5 linked regions of the Ovis aries genome follow. The protein of the gene in region 5 purifies or fractionates together with the protein of the main gene of each other region. This does not show direct contact. Links are inferred from orthologs where the notes say so. Each region holds a gene or a part of one and is shown on either strand. Other genes may lie near its edges.

Region 1 (5,827 bases), about 29 Mb from region 5:
GCTGTCACCTTTGAGGGATAATGATGCCTTCTTTAGTACAGGGATGGGCACAGAGAAGGTGTTCAAGAAATGTTTGTTGAATAAATTAACACCCTTGACTTTGAATGGATGCTTTGTGCTGTCGAGATGAAGTGATCTGTGCTCTGGAGAGTGTTCACAGGCATGGGCTCTGTGTATGCATGTGGTACGCAATACGCTGAAACCCTGAGGTCCTCCCCCGGCCTGGTTGTGGACAGCAGGCAGCAGGAGATGCATGAGCATTAGAAAGCAGAGTTTTGTTGCTCCTGATGCTCTGGGCGCCTGGTCACTGCCTCTGTTGCACACACCCGCACTTTCTCAGAGGGCTGCTAGGTGCCCTCTCACTGGCTCCACAGAGGAGCCCACAGGTAGCTGGTGAGAAGCCTCAGGGAAGCATTTTGTGCATGGGGGCTCTGCGTGTCTGCTGGGAGTCACACAACAGCCAGGGACGGAGCCTCGCCTAGGGAGAAGTGACTGCTACAGGCTGTGATGGTGTTTATTACCTGATGCTTTGTTACATCCAAAACAAACCAACGGGGCTTCCAGCCTTTCAGCAAAGCCCCTCTTTTGTACAGCGTTCCCTCGAAGGACCTAGAAGTAATGATGACATGGCGGTTAATATGATTTTACTACGTGCTGTAAAGGCAATATCTGCTGTTTTTGTTGGTCAAGACTCTGTTTCCCCTAGATGATCCAAAAAAGATCAGTCGGAGCTCCCCCCAGAATTCCTCTACTAGACTCTCAGGGAAAGACTGCCTCATTCTGCTGGGATTGCCAAGCTTGTGAGGTCTGGAGCTCTCAGTAGCCATCCTTTGTACCACGCTGGGGTTCACGCAGCCTGTACAGGCAGCAGAGCTGGTGAATGAGAGAAGCCTGAAGGTACTGTGAGAAACTGGTGCATCCTGGCCTTCTCACCTCATGTGAGTAAATTCCTTTCTGCTTGGTCGAGCATGTGCTGGATCTCAGAAGTCTGCCACTGGAGAAGTGCTCACTAACACACATTCCCTCAAAAGACCAGGCAGATAGGAGATAGTAGGGCCCGCCACAAAAAACTACAACCTTCCGGCCTTGTTTTAGTTATAATTTTGACTTTTCCTCTTCCAAGAACCATCTACCACATTTAAAACAGAAACAAAGAATTAAAGCGGATCCCTTTTAAGTTGATAGACGTGGCACGGCCTAGGCCCAGCTGATTCGAGGGGGGCTGGGAGAGCCTCTGCTGCACCCCCTGGAAGGGCTCACAGCATCTACCTGTTCTCGTCGTTCTTGGGCGTGTACTGGCTGTACAGCGTGGCTGCTCTGCGGTCCACCCCGTTGGATGGGGGGACACCAGTGTTCTGCTCTTCTGCCACGTTGCTCTCTGGAAGGTGGAGCTGAGGCCTCTTCTGATAAAAAGGGAGGTTGGTGGACACAGTTCCTGGGGATCCTGAAGGGTATCTCTGGGGCTGAAAAAGAACAGGAGGTAGGAAGGCTTTACAAAGACTTTAAGTAGCTAATCTGGTAATTTCACTTCTAAAAATTTACCTCAAGAAAGAAACTGGATCATATATTTATGTCTATATAAAATATGTATAAAAGGATGCTTACCTTGGAGTTTTTTTTTTTTAACATAGCGAAAAACTAGAAAGTACCTAAATGTTGATCATTATGGGGCTAGTTAAAAAAAAAAAAATTTCTGAACAACGGAATTCTAGACAGCTGTTACAAAGGATGCTGATTTATATGCGACAAATGGAAGGACACGCATGCCATATATTAAGGAAAAAAGAAAGCAGGTTTAAAAACTACGTCTATAGTAAATCCCTTTTATATATGTGTTTAAAAGTCTGAAGGCATAGTGGTTTATTTCTATGTTATAAATTTTGGGTGATTTCTATTTTATAACTTCCTGTGTTATAAAGGAAATACATACTTAAAGGAATACATATATCTCATATTCATAATCAAAAAAATTAACAAACTATTTTATTCTTAGAAAAAAAGCAGTAAGACTTCATCCACCTGTGGCCTGTCTGATAATAGCCCCTGAGTTGCCACTTGCAGGCAAAAAATGGCGCCTCAAGGACCCCTTCTTATAGGGTCCGAGGACATTTTCTTCTATACTCCATTCTCCTTGACCCCTCTGTGACATCTGACCCTGCTCACCTCTCCTTTCCTCAAGTGCTCTCATCTGTCCTAACCTCCCTCTGCTGCACTTGGAGCCGACCTGCTGTGGGTTTGGCCGGTGGCCTCCCTGTGTATCAGCCGTGTTTTCTGGGCCTGAGCCTGCAGGCATGAGCTGGACGCCACTGCCTCACTGCAGGTTAACAGGACGCTAAGGTGTGGATGCTCAGGGGCTCAGCACAGCCCATTCCACATGTTACAGCTTAAGGGGTGGTGAGAAGCAGAAAATGGAGTATTTGGTATTAAAATATTTTTACAGTAAATGTTTCTTAATTTAGAAACAAAAAGGGGGGGGTGAGCAACAGAGAGTGGCATATTTTACTGTTTTAAAATATTTCATTTTCCCTATTTCTCTGGAGCCAACAAGATCTTGGCATTCCCTTCTTCCCTCCCCTCCTGTGGCAGAAGACCAGCTGAAACCACAGAGGTGCTGAGATAGAAAAAACCCAGTAATTTCCCCCGGATTTAGGGCACTGAACATAAGTATCATATCACTGTGGTAGAGTGAGACACTCAGGAAGTACTCGGTCGTTTGGAAATTTCTGCCCTGGACCCTCAAGGCATGACCCCTCTCTTTGGCCATAAACGTCCTGGGTTACGAGTGGCAGAGGCCCCAGCTGACCCAGTGCCCTCAAGAAGCTCAGCAGCAGCTCTTCAAAGGGCTTTGCCAACTCACATGGTCTGCTCTGGGCTCTTCTTTAAGGTCCACGTTTACCCGTTCCCACAGCTGCTGCCACTTCTCAGGGGTTTGGTTCAATTTATGCTCCAGTCTTTCAATTTCCTACAGAGAAATTAAAAGGGTTTTTTTTTTTTTTTTTTTTTACAGATTAAGTATTGGGTTGGTTAAGAAGTTCGTTTGGGCTTTTCCATAACAGCAGACAAACTCAAACGAACTTCTTGGCCAACCAAGTCTTTCACAGAAATCACGATGCTCCCCAGAGCCACAGCTCCTCTGAGCAGTGAGCCCAGGGCCTCAGAGGCCTCCCAGCCAGAAATGGTGGTGGCGGGAGTGCTAGCTGGTGTGATGCACTGTGGCAAAGATAATTTATTAGGATCTGTAACCGGGCCTCTTTGTACTGATGGCTTAAATAGAGAGATGAAATCTGTATCCGAACACCTTCACCCTTGGCCAGCCCATAGGAAATCTGATGGCCACAGCAAAAGGTCAAGCACTAGGCCTATGTCCAGACCCTAATAGCTGAGGTAGATGAGAAGTCTGTCCTGGACAGAGAAACCCCTTGACTCTGATGATTCAAACCAGATGTAGGGAGAATGAACCAAGAAATGCCCAAGCCTGGCGTTTCCCTCGGCCAGGGAGACTGAGAGCAGAGCAGCGGCCTCTGTGACGGCGCTCTCGCACACGCTTCTCCTGGTGGGAAGACTGAATGGAGAAGGCTCTTCAGGAACTGTCTGGCCTGTGTCAGGGCTCAAACCCTTCCCTCAGGGCCGCTGCTCTCCTCATGGGGGTTACTGCCAGAGTGGCTTCACTCCAGAATATAACTTGCAGAAGACGGCTGGCAGTACTCCCATCAGACCATCAGCTACCCACACTTCTGACCGGGGGAAGTAAGGCACCCACAGAAGTCATAACCCAGGCCTGACTCCGGCTCTTGGCCAGATGAAACAGCCGGGAAGCTGCGAACTGTTCTACTTGCTTGAATGCTTCCTCGTAATGATGAAAAACTCCCTTCTACTGAGACTGTTTTCCAGTCCCTGTGCCTGGATCTCCAGGGATGCTGGGGAGCCGGTCTGGTTTCCACATGTTCTACGGTGCTGGCAAGAATGCTAGCCAGGAGCTGGTGAACCAGGCTTCACTCAGCCAGGTTCCCGAGGCCTCTCGTGCCTTCAGGGGCCCAGAGCCTTGGGAGTCTGGCTTTGCGTGGCTGACTTACACTGAAAAGGCTGGTGAGAGCGTCGGGCTGAGCACAGCTGACATCATCGTAGCATGGCCACACGGTTCTCCTCTGGCTCTGGGGCCTGGCTCCTCCGGCCAGCTCAGAGTCTTCGGAGGGCAGCTGCTTGGGGGTCAGCATCATCCAGTCATAAGAGGGCCCTGTGGAAAGCGTCTCCTCTATATAGTAATCCCACTTCTTGAGGCTGGAAACATTTACACTTGGCTTCAGGGCCTGTTTGAAGAAAATTCTGAAATGTAGTTTTATCCTGACCTCAAAGTAGCCCAAGCTTACAGGCAGGCCAGCCCCCGACACTGCAGGGTCCAGGGAAGAGGATGAACAGAGGTTCTCATTACATATGTCTATATATTTAAACATTACACATCAATATAACTATTAGATAAAGTGTGTTCCATCCTCCTACCCTGACAAATATAACTTCCAAACGACCTAGAAGGCCAGGTTTCAGTTGAGAATTCTCAGACTCCTCGGCACTGGGGGAGGCTGGTCCCAGTTCCCAGTTGTTGGCCTAAACCTCTGCTGCTCCTGGCTCAGCTCTGTCCTGCACTCTGAAGGTCTCTTACGAACAGGCACGTATACCCCAGCCCTGCAGATGAACTGTCTGCTCCCTGACAAATGCTACTCCTTAGTGGACCTTCGGCTTAGGAGTGTACTTACTGGCTTAGGGAAGTGGTCTGGCAAGTAATTTGAATTTGGGCAAGGAATTCTGAAGTACCAGAGTGTGGTCTAGATGAAGGAGGAGCATCTGAGCATGTACCCTTGGTTTCTCACACACCTCATAAGGAGGGTGCATGTGGAGAAAGGCCAAGGTGGGGTCCTATTGTTCTGGGGCCCAGGGTCTGGCCTTTTTGCCCGTGAGTGGTGGTGGAGAGCTCCGCTCCACTGCAGAGCCTATTTCATGTAGACGGGCATGGCAGAGCATGGCTGTCCCTGAGAAGTCAACTTTCTTGGCTGGGCTCCAACCTTCCTGCTTCTCATAGGGTTTCTTCCATGGCTCTGGTATGAATGGACTTAGGGAAGTCTTTTCTGAAGTACTTTAGGTTTTTCAGCTTAGACAGTATGCTGAGGGTTTAAGTTTTGTTTGTTCTCCTTTCCAGGGCAAGTTGATTTGCTCTGAGTTTCTTGAAGTTATCCTCTCTATGTCTAGGGGGCCAGCTCCTAATTTTTCTGGTCAAGAATTTGGTAACAGACTTCATTGCATCATAATCTAAACCCAAAGTGTATCAACTTTGAAATAACTTCTGGTATGAAACCTAGTCAAATGTTTATAAAAAGCTTAAACAGCTTATATACGCTCAACGTAAGGAAAACTTCAACACAAAAATATTCCAAAAATGCAACATAAATGCTTGCTTTCTTTACCTCTATTTCCACTGGTGAATATAAATAATTAAAGAAAACGGGACTCCTCTTGTGCATTCTATCAATACACTCCCAAATACAAATTCCTTTTTTGGCATGCTTGTCTCCTTTATCATCAAATAAAGTTCCTGGAAAAAAAAATCAGCAAAACAAAAGTCAAATAAATCAACAGTTTGCTTAATAATGTGATGCATGTAGCAGATGAAAAATGGAGCTTTTTGTATGGCTCTAGAAACATCACTGCATGGGCAAAAACCTTAGAAAATAACTAAGGAGATAGGAAAGGACTGTAGCAAAGCTAAAGATAGGAATGGGCTTCACAGCTATATGGAAACAAATCCAAATGGAAGGAAAACATGTGCTGAAGTTTT
Region 2 (6,303 bases), on a different chromosome or scaffold from region 5:
CGCCCCGCATCCCCCAGCGTGGGGGCAGGCAGCCTGCAGAGGGCGCTCCCCACGCCCCCTCCCCAGGCAGAAGGCAGAGGAACTGGCCACTGGCCCCCCATCATGCAGAGTGTCAACTCCCGGAGCAGGCTCTGCCTTCAGAGAGCAGGTTTTCCTAGACCCAGAGCCCTCCCCTGCAACGACGGAGGTGAGGGCCAGCGGGGGCTGGGGCGCCGGCGGGGCGGTGAGCAGACCCCCACCAGCTCCTCCCGAGCCACGCCAGCCCCAAACCTGGCCCTCAGGCCTCAGCCCAACGACCATCACCTCCTCAAGCCAGCTCTCTGAACCCTGCCCACGCACAGGGGCTGCGGTGGGACCCAGGAATCTCCCACCCCCCAGCCACTGCCTTCTGGGGTTCCTGGGGCACCTGCCAGCCAGAGAGGCCTCCAAGAAGCTCCATCCTGCACCCGCGGCCCTCGGGCTAACCAGCCTCGGCTGCTCCTCCCACCCCACGGGCAGACTGGCTCCTGGGGGGACGTGCGGGCAGCTTCCTGAGCCCCAAACACACCGGGCGCGCCACGGGCCTCCCCGATGCCCTCCCCCTCCTCTGAGACCCCAGCCCACACCTCCACTCTGTGCCAACAGGGGCCCAGGTGCAGCACGGCTGCGGGCCTGCATTCTGGGGATGGAGGGTATTTGCCACATTGCCCAGCACCCTCACCAACCCCAGCTCCTGAGGCCACGGACGGGACCTCGAGCAGCTGAAGCTCCTGCCCCACCTCGGGTAGACAGAAGGGAGGCGCCCCTCCCACCCGTGACAGGACTAACGCAGACAGCACAGCGGGGCCCGGGAGGAAGGACAGAGGCCCCCTGGGACACAGGCAGTGCAGTGCTTCCTCCTGCAGCCAGTCCCCACACAGCCAACCCCGCGGGGGGAACACAGAGCGCGCGTCTGTCATCCCCAGCAACGCCGGCACCAGTGCCAGGCTCCGATGCCCGGGCCAGCCCAGGCCAGCAAGTGCTGGGGGCAGAGGCGACGGGAGGGTGGCAGCCTGCTTGGCCACCCCCCCACTCAGAGCTCACGCCCAGAGACCAGCCCGGCCGCCGGAAGGACAGCACCCTCCTGCTGGTCCACACCCCAGACCTCAACACAGGGCCCCCCACCACTCCCCCGAGGCCACAGCGCAGGACTCGGCAGAGGGGCCGCAGCCTCTCCAACCTGCCGGTCAGACAGGCCTGGCTCTGACCCGAGGCTTTGGACCCTTTGGGCTCCCAGCCCCGACCAGCCCAAACAGCTCCGACCTGCTCCAGAAGAGGGGCAGGGCCATGGGTGGGGAGAGGTGACCAGCTCAGCGCAGTCAGGAGTGAGGCCAGGGCTGGAGAGCCCTCTCCTCAGACAAGACCACCATGGCCAGGAAATGGGCATGGGGGGGGGGCTCTCTGGCCCCCATGATGTCCCCAGAGCTGGGCCAGGTTGTAAAATATGCTAAACCTAGGTCCTCAGTGAGGAGCGCCCCCAACTCATCAGCAGAGGAGCCTGCAGCCTCTGAGATGAATGGAAAGGTCCCACCCCAGCCCCTCCCTGCCCTGCTACCTAGAGCCTGCTGTCAGGTAGCCCCACAAAACCAGGATACTCCCTCAGGCAAGGAAGATGTCCAGGTGCCAGGCAGGGACAAGGCCCCACCACGCCTACCCTCTCCACTGAACCCAAAGGCCCCGTGGCCCTGGGCTCGAGGCCGAGGCCTGCCAGCAGGCAGGGGCCCTCCAGCTCCAGCAAAGGCGCCCACTGCCACGAGCGTCCACACATGTGCGGCTTGGTGTTAACAAGACACCCGTCACTTCCTGGAGCTTCCTGTGTGAGCGCGGCGTGTGTGCATCCCCCCCCCCCCCCACCGTGCTCACGGCAGCTGGCGGGGAGGCCTCTGTGACTCATCCCGCCACCAGAAGAGGAGACAGCGGCGCAGGGGCCGAAAGACTGGCCCGAGGTCACAGAGGCACCGAGAGGCCAGGCCGGGGCCTCAGGCTGCGCGCCTCTGCTGCAGCCTGGGGGCTGGCTCCTCACAGGCTGGACCAGTCCTGCCAAGGAAGGCCCTGAGGCGAGGTGGCCAGCCAGCAGGTGGCCAGCTCCAATCCCAGAAGGTAGCGGTTAGGGGGTTCCACGGCCCCCAGCCCTACTGCAGGGGACATCTTAAGACTCACTCCTTCCCGTCACTCAGGGTGACAGGCACTGTGGCACCGACCTTCTCCCCTGCCCACTCAGAGGCCACACGCTCTGTGGGTGCCCGCCGCCAGCTTGCCGTGGAGCCCGCCGAGGCTGCCTCTCCTCCCCTGACACGCACTCCAGCTGCCGCCACCATCAGCATGCCTCCCCGGCTTCTGCCTCCTCAGCCTCCCCGCACAGCCTGCGGCGACCTCAGCCCCCCCTGCTTATGCAGTCCCGGGACCCTCATGCTGGGGCCGCACCTCACCCAGCCCGGTCGCCCCAGACCCTGTGCACCCCCTGCCGCAGGGCACAGCCTTCTCGCTGCCCCACCCCACGGGTCCTGGAGAAGACAGCTCTCCGTCTGGCCTGTGGGGCACTCACAGCCTCCACGTGCAGGCTGCACGCGAGGACGACTGGTCCCGGCCCAGAACGCCGTCCCTGACACCGAGGGTGTCGGGCGGACAGGACGGGTAGAGGCCCCCCGTGTGAGAGGGAGTGAGGAGGGTGGGGCCCAGCAGGCGCAGGCTCCGGGAGAGGCAAGGCAAGGAGGGCGACAGCGGCAGCCAGGGCGTCAAGAAGCAGGGTAGAATGGGGGTCTTGACCCCACCCTCAGGCTCCAGGCTCAGCCCCAACCTGACCACACAGCCGTCCCCACCACCCCAAAGCCGCGCCTGCCCTCCTGCAGCTGGGGTCTGAGCCGCAGCGAGGCTCTGGGCGAGCCCCGGCGCGGGTCCCACTCCCTCTGTAGTGGCTCCGACCAGGCGCTCAGCCTCTGCCCGGACTGCAGCGTTCGGATGGGGGCGACGACGGAGCCCTCCGCAGGCTGCCGGGAGGAGGAAGCGCACTCGTGCACGCAGGGGCAGAGCAGGGCCTGGCACACGGAGTGCGCTCCCCGACGCCGACGTCTCCGCGGCCGGTGCTGATGTCATCGTCAGGCTTTTTCCTACCCCCTGGGCTGGAGGGTTCTCAGACACAGGTGGTGATCCGAGACACGGAGCCCCCGGCCACGGGCACCAGGCCGCGCTCTCACCCAGGCTTGGCGGGCAGGCCCTTGGCCAGGAACACTCTTCTCTCTCCTCCCCACAGTTCTTACCGATGTCCTCCGAATTCCGGCTCAAACGCCGCCTCTCCAAGAAGCAGTCCCTGAGCCCCAACCCTGTCTGCACGCCCCCAGCCTCCTGGGCCTGAGACACGGCACAGGGGCCACAGGCTCCAGGCCGGCGGCCCCGGGGGTCAGAGAAGGGGCTTGCAGCCGGCTGAGCGGCCCGTGCCCCTGGAGGCAGAGCCCTCCGGCGGCCGGCCCCCGCGAAGGGAGCCCGTCCCACCCATCTGGGAGGCGCAGGCCGAGCCGCCCGGGGCCCTCCCGCCTGCCGGCGACGCCGAGGCGCGGCCGGGCCGCCTCTGCCCTGACGGCGGCCGGCGAGCGCGGCCCGCCCCGTCACGCCGCGCGGCCCACGTCGGGGAGGCCGGCCCCCGTGACCCCCGACCCCGGGTGGCCGGCCCGGCGCAGCGAGCGCCCGGCGGGCCCGGGGCCGCCCCGCCGCCCCTTCCCGGCCCCCGGCCCTCGGCCCGCGGCCGCGCGCCGGCACTCACCGCGCGGGTGCGGCCCGAACGCCACCAGCACGAAGTAGTCCGCGAGCCGCGCCATGGCGAGGGGCGCGGGCGGGCTCCGCGGCTCGGGCACGCGAGGGCGGCGCGCTCATGGCCCGGCCCCGGCCCCGGCCCGCGCGCCCCGGACGCTCCGGGGTAGGTTTGCGGCGGCCGCCAGGCTTTGCGCCGCCATCTTCCCAGCCCGCCGGCCCGCCCGGCCGCGCCGTGCGCCTGCGCGCCCTCGCCCCGCCCCGGGAGGGCGGGGCACAGAGCGGCGCGCCCTCATTGGGCCTCGCCCCGGGTGGGAGGAGCCCGAAGAGGCGCACCCTTATTGGGCCGCGCACCAGGGGGCGGGGCTCCGCTTCTCCCCGCCCCCAGGCGGTGACAGGGACGGCGGCTCCGGGTCGCAGGCCCGCTCGGCCCGGGTGGGAGCGCGCCCCGCGGCCGCGGCGCCCTCGCAGGCCGTGGGGTCTCGGGTCCTGCCCCGGGCGCTCTCAGGCTCGGGCCCGCGCGGCTCCCAGGGTCTCCCCGCCCGCGCTGTCAGCCCGGAGGAAGACTGGAAGGCGCAGTCCTGCGCACGGGCCTCCGGGACTGGGAGGGGCCCTGGGACGTCCCGGACGCCGCCATCCTGGCAAGGGAGGGGGCCCAGTCAGGCCTGCCCTTGGGGTTTCCTGCCTGAGGAGGGCTCTGGCCCCACTCGGGAGCCCGGTCTCAGTGAGGCGAAACGCTTAACATCAGTTCAGTTCAGTTCAGTCGCTCAGTGTCCGACTCTGCGACCCCATGAATCGCAGCACGCCAGGCCTCCCTGTCCATCACCATCTCCCGCAGTTCGCTCAGACACACGTCCATCGAGTCAGTGATGCCATCCAGCCATCTCATCCTCTGTCGTCCCCTTCTCCTCCTGCCCCCAATCCCTCCCAGCATCAGAGTCTTTTCCAATGAGTCAGCTGTTCGCAAGAGGTGGCCAAAGTACTGGAGTTTCAGCTTTAGCATCATTCCTTCCAAAGAAATCCCAGGGCTGATCTTCTTCAGAACAGCGCGCCGCACACCCTGCTGTGAAAAGCAGGGAGCAGGCTGCCCTGCTGAGGTTCCCAGCAGTGCCTCCCACCCTCGGGCCCTGCATGCCACACGGATGGGCAGGAGGGACTCAGAGTCTCGGGCAGACACTAGGAGAGGCGTCACGCGGTGGGGGGGGCCTCGGGGCTGCCGCTGACTCGCTGGGACGGGGAGCTCGTTTCTGGATGAGTGTGGCACTTTGAGAACCTGTGAAGGAGCAGACTGCTGACGGTCCTGCCCGCCCTCACAAATGGGAGCCCCGAAAACCCAAGCCAGAGAGGGCTGAAAGAGGAGACCACTGGGCCCCCGCCCTGCCCTGGGCACAGGCCTGTCACAGCCTCTTCTGCTGCTGTTGAGTCCTGGGATGAGAACCCCTCCTTTCTGCCCCGGCTGTCTGAAGTTGGTTTTTCTCACTTCTATCCCAAAAGGTCCTGGCCACCACTGCCACGCCACTGAGCTCATGCATGGGCAGGCAGTGTCCCTGGCAAGCCCTCTGGCCTGGCCCCTGAGCCCAGGACAGGCTCTCCTGCAGAGACGGTGGGGACCCTGCCCCCTATATTCCCCCACCCTTGGGCCCTGTTGCAAGGAGCCCACTCCCTGAGCCGTCTCAGAGGCACTTTAGGGTCAAGGGTAGGGTTAGGGTCACTTCCAGAGCATGATACCCCTGCTCAGCTTTCTTGCTAGCACCCTGTACCTGTCCCCCTCTGGGTGCTTCCTCCCTTCCTGAGGGTCTGCGCCTCCCCACCCGCAGCAGGCGCGCCCTCTCATTTTGGGGCCCCTTGGCTCCCTTTCTGTCCTTTCACCCCCACCTAGCATGGCTCCAGTGCCCGTCACCCTGCCAACACCCTCGCCCCCACCTCCCCGACTAGCAAATCCCAGCCACGCACAGTCCTGCCCACCCGTCTCCTCCAGCCTGTAGCAGCATCTGGTGCAGAGTGACCCCGCACCGTGACACCCCGGCCCCAGCTGCAGGTCACTGCTCTCCCTGCCGCCCAGCTAGCCCACATCTGGCCAGTGCGCGTCACTCTGCAGTTTCCTCAAGCCTCTGGCGCCCCCTCCAGTGTCGCAGAGATGGCCCTGCTGGCCTCCTTCACAGAGAAAACAGACCTGCATCACCCCAAGTCTGGCCCTCACCCCCCCCCCCCCCCCCCCCCCCCCCCGGCCGCAGTTACACAGAGGCTCGGCCCCTCCTGCCCCCTGCCCTCCTCTGGCTGTTTGCTGTCGGTGCCCTGCCTCATCTTTCCCTCTCTAGGATCCTCACCATCAGGATCAAGCTCAGTCTTTCCCACCTTAAGACACTCAGACAAAACCTCACTAGACGCGTCTACGCAGCCAAAGCCGCCCTGGCTTTTCCTGCCCCATGGACACTCTCCAAAGCATGCCTCCGCGGCCGCCAGCACACCGCCGCCTGCAGTTCCCTGGGCCGCGTCTTGTTTGTCTCCACGGCCGAGCAGTGCTTGGGTGGCCAGCCTGCC
Region 3 (6,267 bases), on a different chromosome or scaffold from region 5:
TTCCTTGTTTCGTGTGCCTATGCAAAGCCACAGGTGACTTGGCCAAGTTTCCTTTTTTAAACTATAATGAAGGCTAGAACTGTATTATTAAGCTCTCTCAGTAAAAGCCCTAAGCTAGCCCAGGTCTTTAGATCACCAATGCTGCAGTTACTTTCCACGTGTCTCCCACGATTCACAGGTGGAAGGCAGGGGGCTGCAGGCCAGAAACAGAGCCGCAGAGGTTCTAGCGGGAGTCAGAGATGCAACCTGAGAGGTGGAAGGCCAGGAGAAGGTATGAACAGGAGGGGGAAGGAGGGCGAAAGACATGCTAATTTAGGACTAAGTGTTCTGTGAGGAACAGGTTAGGTGCAGACAGAATGCTGGGTGTCAAGCCATCATGTGTGCACACACAGAGCCAAAGAAAAAATGCTACTATGGCTAAGAGGATCCAGATTGAGCCGTGATCTCTAAGACAAGTAAACCACTGACAGTTAGGAAACAGGTTTCCATCTTCCCCAGAAAACTCTGACTTTTTAACAGAAAGGTAAGTCTCTTGGACTACAAGGAGCTTAAATCACTCAATCCTAAAGGAAATCAACCCTGAATATTCACTGGAAGGACTGATGCTGGCTGAAGCTCCAATACTATGGCCACCTGATGCGAAGAGCCAACTCATTGGAAAAGACTCTGATTCTGGGAAAGATTGAGGGCAGGAGGAGAAGGGGACAACAGAGGATGAGATGGTTGGATGGCATCACCAACTCAACGGACATGAGTTTGAGCAAGCTCCAGGAGTTGGTGATGGACAGGGAAGCCTGGTGTGCTGCAATCCATAGAGTCGTAAAGAGCTGGACAAAACTTAGCAACTGAACCAGTTTTTAGTTGAACTCAGCTGGTAAAGAATCCTCCTGCAATGCAGGAGACCCCAGTTCGATTCCTGGGTTGGGAAGTTCCCCTGGAGAAGGGATAGACTACCCACTCCAGTATTCTTGGGCTTCTCTGGTAGTTCAGACAGTAAAGAATCTGCCTGAAATGCAGGAGACCTGGGTTTGATGCCTGGGTTGGGAAGATTTCCTGGAGGAGGGCATGGCAACCCACTCCAATATTCTTGCCTGGAAAATGCCCATGGACAGAGAAGCCTGGCAGGCTACAGTCCATGGGGTCACAAAAGAGTTGCACACAACTGAGTGACTAAGCACACAAAGTTCTTAGAGCTTACTGATATGTATCAACACTTTCACAAGCATATCTTAAACACAGAAGTTAATTACTGAAAATCAAGCTGTATCATTTGTAGCTAAGACCATGTGGTTTATTAGTGTCAAATCAAATCAAGTATTGGAAGCAGGGAATCAAAGAACAGGGCCTGCTCAGTCAGAGCAAAAGGAGCCAAAGTTCAGTAGCTCACAGGCTCTCATTCAGGATGAGCACTGCTTGCCGCAGGGACATTTAAAAGACCAGAGTGACTAAAGCCAAAACAGATCACGCACAAGGAGCAAAGGTTACTTATTAATTCTATTCTTCACTCTGGGGACAAGTGCAAAGGATTATTTAGTACATGCAGTTTGGCTAAAAAGCATTAACAAAATAAAGAGAAAACATTTATAACTAACTTCCATAATTAAGTTGAAACAATTTTAAAAGTTAACATCTGTAACATGGAACCAAAGGTTGATGTTTTAAATTTGTTTGTTCTACTTAACATTGTGGCTCAGCTGGTAAAGAATTCGCCTGCAATGTGGGAGATCTGGGTTCGATCCCTGAGTTGGCAAGATCACCTGGAGAAGGGAAAGGCAACCCACTCCAGTATTCTGGCCTGGAAAATTCCATGGACTGTATAGTCCATGGGGTCGCAAAGAGTCGGACACGACTGAGCAACGTTCACTTTCACTTTTCACTTAACATTTAAAATTTTACAACACAAAATTTAAAGTTTCCATATTTGTTCAGTTACTACTTATAGAGCTCTAGTCATTTTACCAGATTTAGAATTAAGTAATGACTGAGATTTTAAAATGTTGATAGTAGCCACACAGACTGGTATTTGATTGCATTTCAGGTTTAAAATGGGCTTTTCTGGTTACTTTCCCCAATAATCGAGTTAAACAACTGACTTTTCCTAACTATCATATAATTACTATACAATTCAAACTACCAGTCAAACAAATATCTTATATGCATTAAAACTAAAGCATATAACAATTTACCATCAATTCTTACTGATACCTCTAAGGTCATTTAAGGTCAATTTTGTTCTAAACCAGTGCTTCTCCACAGAGAGAAAGTTTTGCACTAAGAGTTCCCCTGACAAAACAGTTTGGCAAGACATTCTGGTTCTCACAAAAGGTAGAGGAGGGGGTGCTCCTAGCATCTGGGGGTAAAGGCCAGGAATGATGCTGAATAGCATGCAATACACAAGACAACCCTAAAACAAAGAATGACCAGGCCCAAAATGTCTGGAGTGTCTCGGTTGGAAAACTCCATTCTAAATTGAAACAAGGAGATCTGCAAACACAGCCAGCTGACACCTTCAAAAAAACAATTGCCAAGTAAGTGATTCAAAGTACACTAAGTTTTGTTATTAGTACAGAGACTCAGACATAATAAAAGTTGCTTTTCATACTATTGAAATGATCTATTAACCACAAACACATGAAGTTGCAGATGGGTATGAAGGACAGTGTCCTCTCACTACCTAAGCAATTCATGAGTGCTTAAAAAAAGAACATTTCAGGAGACAAAAAGAAAATGAGGTAATGACATTCTTGACAGTTTTCTATGATACTTCAATTTTCAAGGACAAACATCAATTAATCATTACTTTTTGTTGCTGTCCTTTAGTTCTAACCAACTTTTCCCCCCTCCACAGTTGTTAGGTGTTTAACTCGCTGAAGTTTAAAGTAAATGAGTAAAGTTAACCACATGATACTAGTTGGTAAAATAATCTTAGGCCAGTATCTGTCAAATAAAATATCTGCCAGAACTCTCATGCTTACCTGGCAAAAGAACGGGCTCCAGTTTTTTAATTTTCGGTTCCGAATTAATCTTATCGTCAGTCTGAAACACATTAGCAAAACAAATCAAAATAAAAATTCCCCCCTACTCCGTGAGAGAAGGCAAATTTTTTTCCTAAGTGATCACACGCGACAGGCACGTATCCCCCCCCTTAAATTCTTTCACATTTTTACTAAACTCCTGTTCGTGAAGGTATTGGGAGTCGGACCTAAAAAACAATATTGTACAACCGCCTGAGGTGCCTCAAGGTGTTCACATTTACGACAGGTAGGTGACCCCTCCCTCCAGAAGCCCGCAGGCGATGCAATCCCGCCGGCGGTCACAGCGTGGACAGCCGCTGGGCAAAGGGCTAAATAAATCCAGGTTCGATCGCTCCCTGGGGTTCCGTCTCCGAGCCGACAACGGCTTCGGCGGAGTTTTGCAAGTTTCCCCCGAGATGGTGGGGATCGCTGGAGCGTGGCTTCCCCGCAACGGAATCCGGGGCCGGAGTCTGGAGTCCGGGACAGCCTCCCGGGCCGGCCCGCGCGCGGCTCCCCGGAAGCGCGATAAGAGGGCGCAGCGGGGAGACGACTGTTTACCTGGGGCGGCGGCAGGAGGTAGGACCTGAAGGTGGGTCTGGGCGGCTTGAGCGAGAACATGATGCGGCCGCCTGCTCGGCCCGGCCCGGTCGCAGCCCGGGACCCGCCTCCCGACGCCCGCGGGCTGAGAGCTCCTGGTGCGACTGCCCGGGCTCGGTCTGCAGCCAGCCGGACCGGGCGGGCTGACGGGCGGGGACACGGCGGAGCGCCCGCCCGAGCGGGGAGGAGCCCGGGCCCATCCCCGGAAGGGGCCCGGCGCCCCGCCCCGCCCCGCCCCGCGAAACGGCGCGCGCAGGGCCGGCGGCCGGCAGCTCCTAGCCTCTAGGCTGCGCCGGCGTCGGAACGCGAGGCTTGTGCCGAGCGCCGCTGCCCTGCCCTCAGTGAGTGGGCCGGGGGGCAGTGAGGCCCGGGAGCCATCTTGAGAGCGCGGCCCGGGCGGGAGTGGGGGCGCTCCTACGGCGGCCGGCAGGGTCCACGGCGGCCTAGGGGACGTACGGCGGCCGCCTGGGGTCACGGGGGCTACCCGCGGGGGTCACTGCGGCTCGCGGGGACGTACGGCGGCCGGCGTGTGAAACGGAGGCCATCCGTGGGGGTCATGGGGACGTACGGAGGCCGGCGGGGATCACGACAGGTCCCTGGACGCCGCTCGCTACTTCCCCAGCTCGCGCGATCGGTGTTTTCCGTAGTCAGGAGGAGCCCAGAGCGGGGAAAGGGGATCCTGTAGCCCGAGATGGACCGGTCACGCAGTCTGCGGCCAGCCTGTGAGGATCGGGCACCGGGGAAGCGGCCCGGGGCAGCGGGCAGTGACCGGGATCAGACGGTCAGCGCGGTGCCTTCCATCACCCAGTGTGTCTGTCCGTGCACGGAGCCATGAGACTCAGGTGTCCTGCTGAATTGCGTGGGATACTGAGGCTGTTGACAGAGAACGTTGCCAGGCAACCTGAACGCCTCTGTTTACTTTAACTTCTACCCTCTTTATTAAACTCCATATTAAGCAAGTTATCTTCCTTTCTTTTCTTGGCTATCCTCACGTGTAAAAATACCAGTGAGCAGATAAATGATCAAAAAGGCCAGCGAGAGGCAGACCTTAACTGTTTGGACCAAATAGGCTATGGACGAAATAATTGCAAAGAATCAGCTACCTTCAGCTTATGAAGCCCAGGGCATTTCTGAACTCTAGCATGTTTCCGAACTGGAGCCGCCTTGGGTGGAAGGGGACTGGTGATGTTAGATTTTGGTAAATTATTAATTGAAACTAGGTTTTTCTTATGTTTTAAAGAATAAATCTCTAATTAGCATTTTATAATTAATGCCATAGGGAAGCTCCAGTGAGGCCATCTGAGTCACAATCTTTCTGACAAGTGTCCCTAATGGAAACACTGAAAAATTTAAAGGGCTTCCCTTGTGGCTCAAATGTCTGTATAGTAAAAGCTATGGTTTTTACAATAGTCATGCACTGGATGTGAGAGTTGAACCATAAAAAAGGCTGAGTGTGAAGAACTGATGTTTTCAAGTTTTGGATGTGGGAGAAGACTCTTGAGAGTCACTTGAAGAGCAAATCAGTCAATCCTAAAGGAAATCAACCAACCCAGAATATTCACTGGAGGGACTGATGCTGAAGCTGAAGTTCTAATACTTTGGCTCCCTGATGGGAAAAGACAACTCATTGGAAAAGACCCTGATGCTGGAAAAGATTGAGGGCAAGAGGAGGTGGTGGTGACAGGATGTGATGGTTGGATGGCATCACCGACTTCATGGACATTAGTTTGAGCAAACTCAGGGAGATAATGCAGAACAGGGAAGCCTGGTATGGCAAATAGTTGGGCGCGACTTAGCAACTGAACAACAACCTGGTGGGTCAGTAGTAAAGAATCCATCTGTGATGCAGGAAATGTGGGTTCAATCCCTGGGTCCGGACGATCCCCTGGAGAAGAAAGTGCTACCTACTCTGATATTCTTAGCTGGGAAATCCCATGGAGAGAGGAGCCTGGTGGGCCACAGTCCATGGAGTCGAAAAGAACTTGACAGACTTATTGACTAAACAACAAAATTTAAATAAGACTTCAAAATTTACCTTTTTTAAAAAAAAATTTTATCTTGGATCCAGAACCCCAATGATCTTTCTGGTTAACTTGTTTGAGTGACATATGATTCCATTTTGCTCGGGTTCTACAACTGTACTTTAAAATATCAAGTCCATTGAGTTATAGGTATTACATATACTGCTGTACACATACATTTAACACCTTTTTATGAATTGTCTGTGATTCGTCCGCATTAAATAGATTTAAAAAAAAAAACATTAAACTCAGAAAAAAAGAGATCATATTTGCGGTTCCCAGAGGCAGGAAGTGGGAGAGAGGAACTGGAGAGAAGTGGTTAAAAGCTACACACTTCCAGTTATAAGAAAAGTAAGTACTAGGGAAATAATGTAATACTGCTATATGTTATATGGGAAAGTTAAGGGAGTAAATCCTAAGAATTCTCATCACAACGGGAAAAACTGGTTTTTTCTCTTTCTTTACTGTATTTATGTAAGATGATGAATGCCAGTTAAATTCACTGCAGTAATCATTCTACAATATATGCAAGTCAAATCATTAAACTGTACACCTTAAACTTGTGCAGTGATATATGTCAATTATACTTTAATAAAACTGGACAAAATGGATTGTTTTCCCACACACGCTTTGCA
Region 4 (5,827 bases), on a different chromosome or scaffold from region 5:
GGATCAAACCCAGGTCTCCTAAAATGCAGGCAGATTCTTTACCACCTGAGCTACCAGGAAAGCACTTATTACCTTCTAATACACTGTCATTACTCTTAAGGGTTTCTTAAAAAAGCACAGGATCTATGTGGAGAAAGTGGAACCTCAATTGCTGTGGACAGGAGTGTAGAAATGGTGCAGGGGCTGTGGAAAATAGTCTGGCAGTTCCTCTTAAGGTTAAATGTGCAGTTACTATATGACTCAGCAATTTCACCCCTAGGAATATACCCAAGAGAACTAAAAGTACGTCCATATGAAAGCTTATACTCATGTTCACAGCAGCATATTCATAAGAGCCAAAAAGTGAAAACAATTCCATGTCCCTCAACTAATGAACAGATAAATAAAATACGGCACATCCACACCATGGAATATTATTCAGCAATAATAAAAGAATGAGATTCTGATATCTGCTATGACATGGATGAGCTGTGATAACATTTGTGTTCAGTGAAAGAAGCCAGGCACGAGGGCCACATTCTGCACAGCTCCATTTACGCGAACTGCTGAGGACAGGCAAACCTACAGAAACAGAAAGTAGATGAGCGGCAGCCTAAGGCTGGGGCGGGTGGGTGGGGATATGGGGGTTTCTGGGGATGATGAAAATGTTCTCAAATCAACCAGGGTGATGGCTGCAGGAGATGTGAGAAACGCAGGTTGGATCCCTGGGTCGGGAAGATCCGCTGGAGGAGGGCATGGCAACCCACTCCAGTGTTCTTGCCTGGAGGATTCCATGGACATGGGGCCTGGTGGGCTACAGTCCACGGGGTCACGTGGAGTCAGACACGACTGACTGAGCAGCTGAGCACACCCGGTTGCACAACCCTGTGAATGTGCTTTTAAAAACCACGATACACATCACGGGGATGAACTGACAAGGCACGTGAATTAAATCTCAACAAATCCGCCAAAAAGAAAAGCATGGTGCCGAGAGCTTACCTTTCACAGACTTTATAGCCTTCATTGACACTCACTGCCTTGTACTTCATGTTGCCTTTGGTCCGCTCCAGCTCCCGACACCAGTCCTGAAGTGTGTCAAACATTACGGCGTGCTTCTTGGGGTCCGTTGCTAACAAAACAAATGGAGAAAGACAGTAAAATTTTGTTGTGAAGCCTGGTGTTTTAACGCTGTGAAAGTGGCTCCTTGGGCCCCAAGTTCCTCCACAAAGCCCATTTTTATCCCTGCAGAATGAACTCACTGCTTCATCCTAACCTTGTTCCTTTCTTTCTGTCATTCATCCAAAATTATAAGCGAGGCTCTGTCTCTTTGTACCAGGGGAAAGGAGCTGTTCTCGTTCCATTCCTTGCAAAAGTAATTTATAGCTCCATCTGCAGTCATCTGACCATGAGATAATTTATATAACATAAAAAAGATCCCGTGAAGCACTAAAAGACTGGCTTGGCACAAATGCTAAAATAATAAAATATTTTTAGCCCTACCCATGTGTGCATAAGATGGCAAACTCATTTGAACAGCATGTCAGATTCCTGAGTCTAAAGCCTCCTTGCCAAGAAGAGGAGTCCTCAGTGTGACACCTGGCTCCTGAAAGCCACAAACGAAGGAGATGGCCACGTCGAGGGTCGGGGCCCATAGGCCAAGGGCCACATCTCGCTGATGGGGACTTCTGCCCCTCACCCTGCCACTCCCTGCAAGGAGCAAGGGCTCAGGAGTGCTGCTCACGCAGCCCAGCAGGTGTGCCCGTGGTCCTCCCCACAGCACCGCCTGATGAGGGTGACATGCACCAAAACACCCTTGGGTGGTCACACGGATCAGTTCGTTCCAACCTGTGCACATCTTTAAAAGCAAGCCTTCTGGGGAAAACAAAGTGTTAAATTAAATGCCCACCTGCTCCTTTTAATAAAACCACATCATAGTACAAAGAATGATAATACAAACAATGATTAAAAAAACAACAACAACAGTAGTGAAGCTTATATAGCACTTAGGATGCCAAGCACTATTCTGAGCACATTTCATGTGCTCAATCCTCACAACCCTACAGGGTAGGCAATATTATTTCCGTCATTCAGGCATGGCACAGAAAGGTCAATTAACTCGTCCAAGGTCACACAGCTAGGCAATGGCAGAACTGGAATTCAAACCTAGGCAGCATAAATTTCCCATAAGGTTAACAGATTCAAATAAACTTCCCCACAGACATGAGTAATACCAATATTCCTATTCAAGCATACTAGGTCATTTTCTTAGCAACACAGATAAGTTCTTTCCTAAAATGCCAGGTCACAAACATTTAGGACCTTTCAGCCAAAGTACATTTGTGTATTATTAAACCTGAGAAGAATGAAAGATGTTCCGATTGCAAAGCACCCATTTCTACAAACCCCTACACGATCAAAAAAACTGGTCCACTTGCACCTCTCAGTTATAACCTTTACTTTATCAAAAAAAGAAGGCTGGAAGGAGAAGAGAAGGATGCTGGAATTTGAATAGAACACAAGATGCTACACAGCCTGGACATTCTGGCACAAAAATAAAATCTCCATAAGGTAATGAAACTGCCAGGGTCAGTCAAGGTAAGGGTATTGGCACACAGATCGACACCTGCTGGGGAGCTGGGATATGTCCTGTGCTGGTCCAGACCAAGAGTCAGGATACAAGGGAGAGGCAGAGCTCCTAAAAACAGTATGATTTTCACATGTAGACCCAATAAATGTTTATACGAAGTACAGCAATCAACAAAGAGGTCGTATTTTGTATAGCTCATACTGCAACACGCTGTTGTCAGCCAGCACCCAGCTAATCAGCATGTACACGCATTGCTACCGTGAAAAGATCATTCACAGACAGGAACTTACTACATGACGGCACAAGGTTTGGGCTCAGACTACTAGTAGTGCTGAGTACATTTTCATGTCAGTGTAATTCTCTGGGCAGTATCTGCCCTGAATAAGCAGTTACACTCTCAATTAACCCTCACTCAATGACTGTACCCTATGTGCCGTGCATTTAACAATCTACAGTCTTCAAAACATTCATGGGAAGCATTAACACTACTGTTTTTTAAATGAGAAAACAGAGGCCTCAGGAGTTAAGCGCCATCCCCAGGGTCTACGCTACTAGGCAGCTGGACAAAGATTTGAACTCAGGAGGGACAGACCTGGAAATTCACACCTTTTCTTCACGATCACCACAGTTCCCCAAATGCAGCCTGCTCTCCCAGATAGCTTCATCTCTGCACACGCCAGTCTCACTTCCTCAAACACTCCTGAGTGCCGATACAATCTCCACCAGCAGCTCAGGCCCGACCTTTGCCCTCTGACAGCCCTCCCTCCCCAGCGTGGCTGGTCCCTTCCACCAGTGCACACAACACTCTGACTGGTTGCTTATTTCTTCTTCTGGCTGTGCCGTGTGGTGTTCAGGATCCTAGCTCCCCAACCAGGGATTAAACCCAGGCCCCCTGCAGTGGAAGCACAGTGTCCTAACTATTGGCCCAGTGGGGAATTCCCTGACTCAATGTCTTAGAGGGCAGAGATTTAGTCCTGTTCATATTTCCAGGGTGCCTGACCCATAGCAAGCATTCGAGAAACATTTACCAAGTGAGCAGCTGGTGACAAAGCAACTCTGCATTCCACAAAGCGTGACATGTGCAGGCAGGACACGTCATGTCCCTGAAGAAAAGCTCATGGCACACGGGATTGGTCAACACCAACTTCACGTTCAGAGTGATGGGCAGATAGGGACGTAATGTATAACATGACGAATACAATTAACACTGTTGTGCGTTTATGTATGGAAGCTGTTAAAGAGAGTAAATCCTAAGGGTTCTGACCACAAGGAAAAAATTTTTCTGTTTCTTGAATATCATGTCGATGTACGATGATGAACGTTCACTAAAATTACTGTGGGCATCATGTCATGACAATGGAAATCAAATCGTTATGCTGTGCACCTTAAACTTATACATGCTGTGTCAATTATATCTCAGTAAAACTGGAAGGAAAAAAAATTAAAATACTAATTTGGAATTAAAAAAAAAAAAGGAATGGGAAGAGCAAGTGAACAGATGGAGGGGAAAGATCCAGAGAAGGATGAAGACAAACATCTGTGGAATCACTGTACAACACTGGGCATTATTAATAGCTAGTTCAGATGACCACAGTTTCTTACTAAAAAGATTGCTCTCTTTTTCAGGGAACCAAATGGAAAACATTCGGAATTTCAAGTTTTCGAACCAAACTGGTTTTCAGATGTGCTCTCTTCTGTACAAGTGTTCTCTTCCCCATCCCCAAATATTTGCTATAAAGCATGTTCTGGCTGTTTAAAAACTTTCTAGAATGCAAGACATTTTTGTAGGGTCTTATGAAATGAAATCAAGCCTATGAAAGTGGAACAAAGAACCCAGGGACAGAAAGGGTAATTTTAAACTTGTCTCAATTTTCTTTCTCTATAGTCTCACATTTCCAATGACAATTTATTGATTTTAATCTTTCATAAGAACCCATCAAATAATCCTTCACAAAAAGCAAACAAACCTAAAAGATAAGTTAAAGCAACAAAGATCACAGGAAAGAAACAGAAACCTTTTTTAAAAGAAGAACTTTGAATCAATCACCCAAGTAAGAGGTGACCCATTGCTAGAAAAGATGGGGAAAAAAACCCACGGATGGGTTTTCTCCCATGAGCTGCAGGTAGGAACTGGAAGGGTCCTGCCTAACTGCGGATGAAAGCTTACCTGGGCTGTTTCGTGCTGCAGTCGCGTAGGAAAACAGAAACAATCGTTTAAGCAGTTTAGGGGCCTGGGTATGATGAATTATGCCACTGACAATCTACAAAGAACCAAGTAATGGATACAGTCATGCTTTTGGCAAGTAAACACTGAGAGACAAGACTCAAGTTGTCTAGGTTTTCAGTAATGCCCATGGGCTCCGCTGAGCAACATGCTAACTCTCATTGAGGTCTGTATCTGTGATATTATCTCTTGGAATAATGCCACACAAACAGAATGCTAACTATTTTGTCAGGTTTTTTAAGAGCTTTGAATTTCTAGGGAAATTTTTAAGACATAATCTAATTTATCAAAGACAAAGTGCTAAAAAAAAACTTAAGTGCCATATTCAGACACTCCAAAAATCTGACATGTCAAAAATGTAAAGTAAAAGAAAGTGAAGTCACTCAGTCATGTCTGACTCTTTACAACACCATGGACTGTAGCTCGCCAGGTTCCTCTGTCCATGGAATTCTCCAAGCAAGAATACTGGAGTGTGTTGCCATTTCCTTCTCCAGGGGATACCATCAACCCAGGGATTGAACCCGGGTCTCCTGCCTTGCAGGCAGACTCCTTACCGTCTGAGCCACCAGGGGAGTCTTTCTAAAGATGTAAAGCTGATATCAGATAATAATCAAGACACTGAGCTATTCTGATCTATGTGTTATGGCCTTAAGGATCTTCTTCTAGAAGACAGCCTTCCCATGGTGGCTGATGGTAAGGAGTCTGTCTGCAATGCAGGAGACCCAGCTTCAATCCCTGGGTCAAGAAGATTCCCCTGGAAAAGGGAACGGCAACCCACTCCAGCGTTCTTGCCTGGAAAATCCCTTGCCTGGACGGAGGAGCCTGGCAGGCTACAGTCTATGCAGTCGCAAAAAGTGGGACACGACTGAGCGACATCACTTTCTTTCTTTCGTTCTAGAAGATAAGGAACTCAATCTACCATGCTTTTTGTTTGAAGTTCCAAACAAAAAGTATATTTGGACAGATGATGAAAATCATCATTCAAATGGAAGTTTCTTGCTTCTTAGGGAATTTTCCGTATCTATACCACTTTTTTC
Region 5 (6,304 bases):
TCGGATGAAAGAAATACAGATTAAATTAACTGACAAACTAAATTTGAGAGAAAGAGACCAAAGTCATCAAGACAGATGGAAAATCCAGTAGGCTAAGGAAACAATGCTGTGAAGACAAGAGGAGTGGGCACCGAAAAGATAATTCAGACAATAAAAACGCCCGGGGTGTCAAAAGGCTTCACACAAGGGCCCCATCAGCTCGAACCTGAACTTGTGACTTTATAGGCCACATTTCACTTTGGAAAACCTTTTAATTCTTTGAGTAGAAACAACAAATAAGACAAGTGTTGAACATTCAGTCAACATTTCTTTATTCAATCATCTACTGGGTGCCTCTCTGGCACTAGATTTATTAGCATGATTGTGCACAGTAAAAAATAATCAAAGAAACCCACTTAAGCAGTACATTCTCTAACAGTGTACAAACTGAAAGATGGAAAAAAACAGACTAAGCAGCCAGATGAATATCAGTATAGCGTTAAATTCTGCTGTATAACTTCTACAGTTCTGAAGCTCAGGTCTACCCTAGCTGCCGTATCCAGCCCACAGTATTATTTTATCAATACTCTGACCACAAAAATCAGAGCAAGACCAACTGGAATACAGTCAGATAATCAGTGTGCTGAAATGAATTTTTTTCCACAACTCTCGCTCTCTCTGTGGGGCAGGACATGTGTGATGAAGGCAACAGCAGGATATACAAGAGCTGCTGAACCACTCACTCAAGTAGGCAATACCAAGCAGGACTCACCAAAGAAAATTAGCTTAAGCATGCAAGATGACATAATTGCTAATCAGCTGTAGCTGATAGAAACTACTATCTAAATATCATATTAAGAATGAAATTGCTCTTCTGTGAACAAAGATATAAGGCTTATAATGACCTAGAAGGCAAAGCTAGAAGCAATAGCAATCCTGAGCTGACTCCAGATTTATAGATATACATAGATTGTGGATATATAGATATTAAAACTAACATATATTTAGTGTGAACCACAGATCCCACAAGAGCCAATCACTCAACCTAAATTGAGTGTGTCATTTTCCAAAAAACAATGGGCAACCACAAGGGTTATAGTACTATTTTACAGATTTATATTTTTCCTACTTCCCAGAAGAGTATAAAACATTTTACAAATTAACACATTTAAACATAATATTTAAGCTGGCTCCATCTAATAGTAGGAGTATTTGAAGGAATTAAAGATGAATATATTACCAACTTCAGTTATAAATTTGACTGAAGACTTTTTGCCGAATTGAAGATGCAGCTACATAATTTCCATTTTGAAACAAATAGAAAACATAACCAAAATTTCCCTTGAAACTAAACTCAGCAGAAATTTGGTAATCTAGTGTGCAAATCACAATCTGTAATACACTGAATAGAATTATTAACTATTATTTTGCAAGAGATATCAAAGTAATTTCACAAAGCAATTTTCCTAACTGAAAATAAGAAAATGAGAATTTTCTAATTGTATAAAACGAAAGCAGAACTACAATTTAAGAATGAGAGTTCTGCAAAAGCCTGAAATAATACAGTTCAAACACCAATATTTCACTTAATCATAGGATAACAAAAGTAGTAAACCTAATCTGGGTAGTTACGTAACATTGCTGTTGTAACTAACCATAGTTGTCTACCCTCCCTCTGTATTAGAAGCACCTATGATTGACTGCGACCCTAAATTAAGTATAAAATTAAGCTTTCTAACAAGTGTCTACAATCCAGCTATCCTATAATGTTGATTAAAGAGAGTGCCACAAATAGGTGTAATTATTCACAAAATAAAAGATATGAAAGAATTTAGCAGGATGAATTCTATAGACAATCAATAAATATTATTTTTCTCTTTTCTAGAGAACAGGACTGAAAGCTGGCATTTTCCTGTGAAAGTAGAGCCATACTTATAGTTTTGTCTGGAGAGGATGAAGCCAACAAACTCCAGTCAAAATTCAAGGAATTCTTAACTTTCCCATATTCATATGTAACCTAATGTTTCATTAAGAAGTTAAAATATAAACATATAAACTTTCAAGTTGTTGGGCTTTTTCTTTTACTAAATAAATGTGCTTAACTGGCAAAACTAACCTAGTTATGTGATTTAAACATTTAGTGTAATTTCAAAAATTCAAAACAAAGGTTATTATCATTAAGATACAGAACTGACAGATTTTTTAAAGCTTAAAGGGACCTTACAGATGTTCTAGATCAACTCTCCCTTCCCCCTGCCTTATTTCAAAAGATGAAAAAACCACAGACTGGAGAGGTTAAATGAGACAGGCCAAATGACAAACTGAGCCTAGGTCTAAAGAGCCTGAGCCTCCTGACAGCCAGTACTTCTTTCTAACAAGAGTATGCTGCCTCCTGTGGTTCCAGATCCTCCCTTGGATGAGATTACTTCAGCTGTCTCATTTGTTTTCTTTACATTCTATCTATCCTGAGCCATAGTTGCCATTTGTAACTTTCCCGTAAAATTATAATTTTCCAGCCTGCTTTCTGAATGATTTTACAGCTGAGTGTAAATCCCCCAGTCTTCTAAATTTCATTGCAGGCAGATTCTTTACCTTCTGAGCCACCAGGGAAGACCTAAATTTCAGAGCAATAAACCTAAAAAGCACCTGAAACAAATGCACACTAGTGGTATATAATCAAATGCAAAATCACTCTCCGGCATAATTCAAACTACAAATTCAAAAAATAAAATTTATTAAGCACCTCTGACAGGCAGGGTCTCTGTTAAATGATGGTGATATGAAAACCAATACGATATGATCCTTGTCCTCAAGTAGCTGACAGTCTAGTAGAGAAGACAATTAAACCAACACTGTGCTTGTTAAAAACACTGTAAAAGGGCTGGGCAGGTTGCTGTGAACACATTTAGGAAGAGAATCTAATAAAGAAAGGTGGGATCAAGTAATGATTGACTTCCCAATGAGGTCCTGAACAGCAACAGAAAAAAAAAAAAAAAAAAGGGAGTATCACCCATATTTAGCAGAGTCCAAAACGAATTAAAAGAGAGCAACAGAATTTAAAGGCTCAAGAGACAGTTTTCTATGACAGTTAACCTGTGGTATCCTCTAATGCACATTAATGAAGTATCCTTTATGTACAGTTGGGAAGGTCCCCTGGAGGAGGAAATGGCAATCCACTCCAGTGTTTTTGCCTAGAGAATCCCATGGACAGAGGAGCCTGGCGGGCTACAGTCCATGGGGTCGCAAAAAGTCGGACACGACTGAGCAACTAGTAATAATAATAATTCCAATTTATTCACGGGAAAAAAAATGAAACGTGCTAGTTTACAGCGATTTAGTATCTAATAACTAATAACAACTAGACTTTTTCAAAGGAAAAGAACCTGATTTCAATGTAGCAGTATAACAATACAGGTCTTCCTATTGCTTAATAAAATTTACTATTTTAAAACAACAGGAAAAACCTGCCTTTGAAACACGTCAAGTTAATATTCACGCCAGCCCTGCGAAAAGCTACATAGTAAAATCCTCCTCAAAATTCCAGGGGGAAAAAAATCCCAGCTGATACAAGATGGAAACCTGGAGAACCGGTAGGTAGCCCAGGAAGAACGAAAACTACCACTCATTACTCAGGAATAATAACGTTCAGCTGGAAGATTCACGGTGTGGGTACTCACATTTTAAAGCAAAGTTGGGGGGAGGGGGGAAGATCAGAATGCAAGGAAACCTTAAAATAAGTGACGGGAAAGAGCGGAAAGGGTGGGCAAGAAGCCAGAAACCCAAGACTGAAAGACGGATGGAAAAAAGACTGGAGAAGGGTCTCAGAAGAGTCGTCAAGGGAGAAAGGCAGGGAGGAGAAGGGGGGAGGGGACAGAGTTGGGGAAGGGCTGTCCAAAAAATGAATTAAAGGGAAATGAGAGATTAGAGGATGTAGAGGACTGAGGCGTTCTCGACCGCAGATAAAAACACCAGAATACAAAAGGTAAGACCGATGAAGAACCGCAGAGTTTTAACCTCCTCTTTCCCAGCATCTAACCCGCAGAGAGGAAGAAAGAAGAGGTGCCCAGCCTGAGGGAAGGAATTCCGGCGCAGCCTCCCAGTCCCGGAGCCCGCGACGTGGGGCCCCGTCCAGCGGGTCCCGGGCTCCACTTCATCCCCCTCGGGCGCTCGGCGGGCCCCGGTTACCTGGACAGGGAGTCCACGCTGGGCGGCCGTGCTACCGCTGGCTGAGAGCCAAGGCTTTCGCAACTCGAGCTCTTCTCCATGGCGCGGCGCGGGGGCAGCCGGAGGAAAAGCCTGCGGCGACCTCCGCGGCTGCCCGGCGGGAGGAGCGGAGGGCGGGGTGCGACGGGCTGGGTCCGCGCTCAAGCCCGCGCCGGCCCGGCAGGGAGACCGGAAGCGGCCATGTTCCCCCAGCCTGCACCGCGCGCGGGCGCTGCCGGGAGCCGGAGGAGCCCGCGGCGCCCCGGGGGCGCCCGCCCTCGCGCGCTTCGCACGCCGCCACCCCGTGCGGCCGCCGGGGGCCGCGGAGCGCGTGACGGCGCCTGAGGGCCGAGGCTCCTCTGAGGCCGGCGGGAGCCGGGGCTGCAGGAGGAGGGGCCGTTTCAAAAATAATGAAGCAGCGAGTACTACGGACGAGGGTCTGAAGACAAGGACCTTAAGGACGGGGACGATTGTGACGGGAATGTGGGGGTCGGGGAAGAGAACAGAATAATAAAGGATGTGGGCAAACCCTAGGATGAGAGGCAGAGGGACGTGGGGGATGAGGAGGGGAGGACCTGAACACAGGTTCGCGTAAAGGATGAGGCTGTGAGAGGTGAGACGGCGAAATACTCATCATGTCAAGAGCTGAAAATGATTAAGTAATTGTTCCTTAAATCATAATTAAAGCCTACTTTAGGAGGCTTCCTTGGTGGCTTAGAGGTTAAAGCGTCTGCCTCCAATGCGGGAGACCTGGGTTCGATCCCTGGGTCGTGAAGATCCCCTGGAGAAGGAAATGGTAACCCACTCCAGTATTCTTGCCTGAAGAATCCCATGGACAGAGAAGCCTGGTAGGCTGCAGTCCACGGGGTCGCAAGGAGTCGGACACGACTGAGCGACTTCACTTAGGAGAAGGAAGTGGCAACCCACTCCAGTACTGTTGGCTGGAGAATCCCATGGACAGAGGAGCCTGGTAGGCTGCAGTTCATGGGGTCGCAGAGTCAGACACGACTGAAGCGACTAAGCACGCAAAGCCTACTTTAAAGTTAGTGGATTCACATCCTGCCTCTCTCAGTTATTTGCAGTGTAATCCAAGGCATGGAACATTAATTTTTTAATCTGTAAAACAGGAAACCAGCTTCACAGATTAGATGAGTTCAGTTCAGTCGCTCAGTCGTGTCCAACTCTTTGCGACCCCATGAATCGCAGCACGCCAGGCCTCCCTGTCCATCACCAACTCCCGGAGTTCACTCAGACTCATGTCCATCGAGTCAGTGACGCCATCCAGCCATCTCATCCTCTGTCGTCCCCTTCTCCTCCTGCCCCCAATCCCTCCCAGCATCAGAGTCTTTTCCAATGAGTCAACTCTTCGCATGAGGTGGCCAAAGTACTGGAGTTTCAGCTTCAGCATCATTCCCTCCAAAGAAATCCCAGGGCTGATCTCCTTCAGAATGGACTGGTTGGATCTCCCTGCAGTCCAAGGGACTCTCAAGAGTCTTCAACACCGCAGTTCAAAAGCATCAATTCTTCAGTGCTGCGCTTTCTTCACAGTCCGGCTCTCACATCCATACATGACCACTGGAAAACCATAGCCTTGACTAGACGCACCTTAGTCGGCAAAGTAATGTCTCTGCTTTTGAATATGCTATCTAGGTTGGTCATAACTTTTCTTCCAAGGAGTAAGCATCTTTTAATTTCATGGCTGCAATCACCATCTGCAGTGATTTTGGAGCCCCCCAAAATAAAGTCTGAGTCCACTGTTTCCCCATCTATTTCCCATGAACTGATGGGACCAGATATCATGATCTTCGTTTTCTGAATGTTGAGCTTTAGGCCAACTTTTTCACTCTCCACTTTCACTTTCATCAAGAGGCTTTTTAGCTCCTCTTCACTTTCTGCCATAAGGGTGGTGTCATCTGCATATCTGAGGTTATTGATATTTCTCCTGGCAATCTTGATTCCAGCTTGTGTTTCTTCCAGTCCAGCGTTTCTCATGATGTACTCTGCATAGAAGTTAAATAAGCAGGGTGACAATATACAGCCTTGACGTACTCCTTTTCCTATTTGGAGCCAGTCTGTTGTTCCATGTCCAGTTCTAACTGTTGCTTCCTGACCTGCATATAGG

The links.
Region 1: the proteins of MTMR2 (region 5) and SBF2 purify together in Homo sapiens (affinity purification with mass spectrometry; 3 studies listed by BioGRID and IntAct, with this or other methods). This does not show direct contact. The link is inferred for Ovis aries from reciprocal best matches to the Homo sapiens genes MTMR2 and SBF2.
Region 2: the proteins of MTMR2 (region 5) and SBF1 purify together in Homo sapiens (affinity purification with mass spectrometry; 6 studies listed by BioGRID and IntAct, with this or other methods). This does not show direct contact. The link is inferred for Ovis aries from reciprocal best matches to the Homo sapiens genes MTMR2 and SBF1.
Region 3: the proteins of MTMR2 (region 5) and MTMR10 purify together in Homo sapiens (affinity purification with mass spectrometry; 5 studies listed by BioGRID and IntAct, with this or other methods). This does not show direct contact. The link is inferred for Ovis aries from reciprocal best matches to the Homo sapiens genes MTMR2 and MTMR10.
Region 4: the proteins of MTMR2 (region 5) and MTMR12 purify together in Homo sapiens (affinity purification with mass spectrometry; 5 studies listed by BioGRID and IntAct, with this or other methods). This does not show direct contact. The link is inferred for Ovis aries from reciprocal best matches to the Homo sapiens genes MTMR2 and MTMR12.

Annotation. Positions count from the first base shown.
Region 1 is NC_056068.1:42,587,526-42,593,352, reverse strand, and holds part of SBF2 (myotubularin-related protein 13), read right to left. Parts: intron 5,585-5,827; coding exon 5,457-5,584; intron 4,308-5,456; coding exon 4,074-4,307; intron 2,963-4,073; coding exon 2,858-2,962; intron 1,464-2,857; coding exon 1,270-1,463; intron 610-1,269; coding exon 522-609; intron 1-521. UniProt on the Homo sapiens protein: Guanine nucleotide exchange factor (GEF) which activates RAB21 and possibly RAB28. Promotes the exchange of GDP to GTP, converting inactive GDP-bound Rab proteins into their active GTP-bound form.
Region 2 is NC_056056.1:225,704,377-225,710,679, forward strand, and holds the start of SBF1 (myotubularin-related protein 5), read right to left. Parts: upstream 3,989-6,303; 5' UTR 3,831-3,988; coding exon 3,776-3,830; intron 1-3,775. UniProt on the Homo sapiens protein: Acts as an adapter for the phosphatase MTMR2 to regulate MTMR2 catalytic activity and subcellular location. Promotes the exchange of GDP to GTP, converting inactive GDP-bound Rab proteins into their active GTP-bound form.
Region 3 is NC_056071.1:25,228,553-25,234,819, forward strand, and holds the start of MTMR10 (myotubularin-related protein 10), read right to left. Parts: upstream 4,016-6,267; 5' UTR 3,812-4,015; coding exon 3,573-3,811; intron 3,530-3,572; exon of another isoform or gene 3,203-3,529; intron 3,037-3,202; coding exon 2,976-3,036; intron 1-2,975.
Region 4 is NC_056069.1:41,496,064-41,501,890, reverse strand, and holds part of MTMR12 (myotubularin-related protein 12), read right to left. Parts: intron 4,828-5,827; coding exon 4,734-4,827; intron 1,109-4,733; coding exon 979-1,108; intron 1-978. UniProt on the Homo sapiens protein: Acts as an adapter for the myotubularin-related phosphatases. Regulates phosphatase MTM1 protein stability and possibly its intracellular location. By stabilizing MTM1 protein levels, required for skeletal muscle maintenance but not for myogenesis.
Region 5 is NC_056068.1:13,956,880-13,963,183, reverse strand, and holds the start of MTMR2 (myotubularin-related protein 2), read right to left. Parts: upstream 4,404-6,304; 5' UTR 4,245-4,403; coding exon 4,165-4,244; intron 2,805-4,164; exon of another isoform or gene 2,723-2,804; intron 1-2,722. UniProt on the Homo sapiens protein: Lipid phosphatase that specifically dephosphorylates the D-3 position of phosphatidylinositol 3-phosphate and phosphatidylinositol 3,5-bisphosphate, generating phosphatidylinositol and phosphatidylinositol 5-phosphate.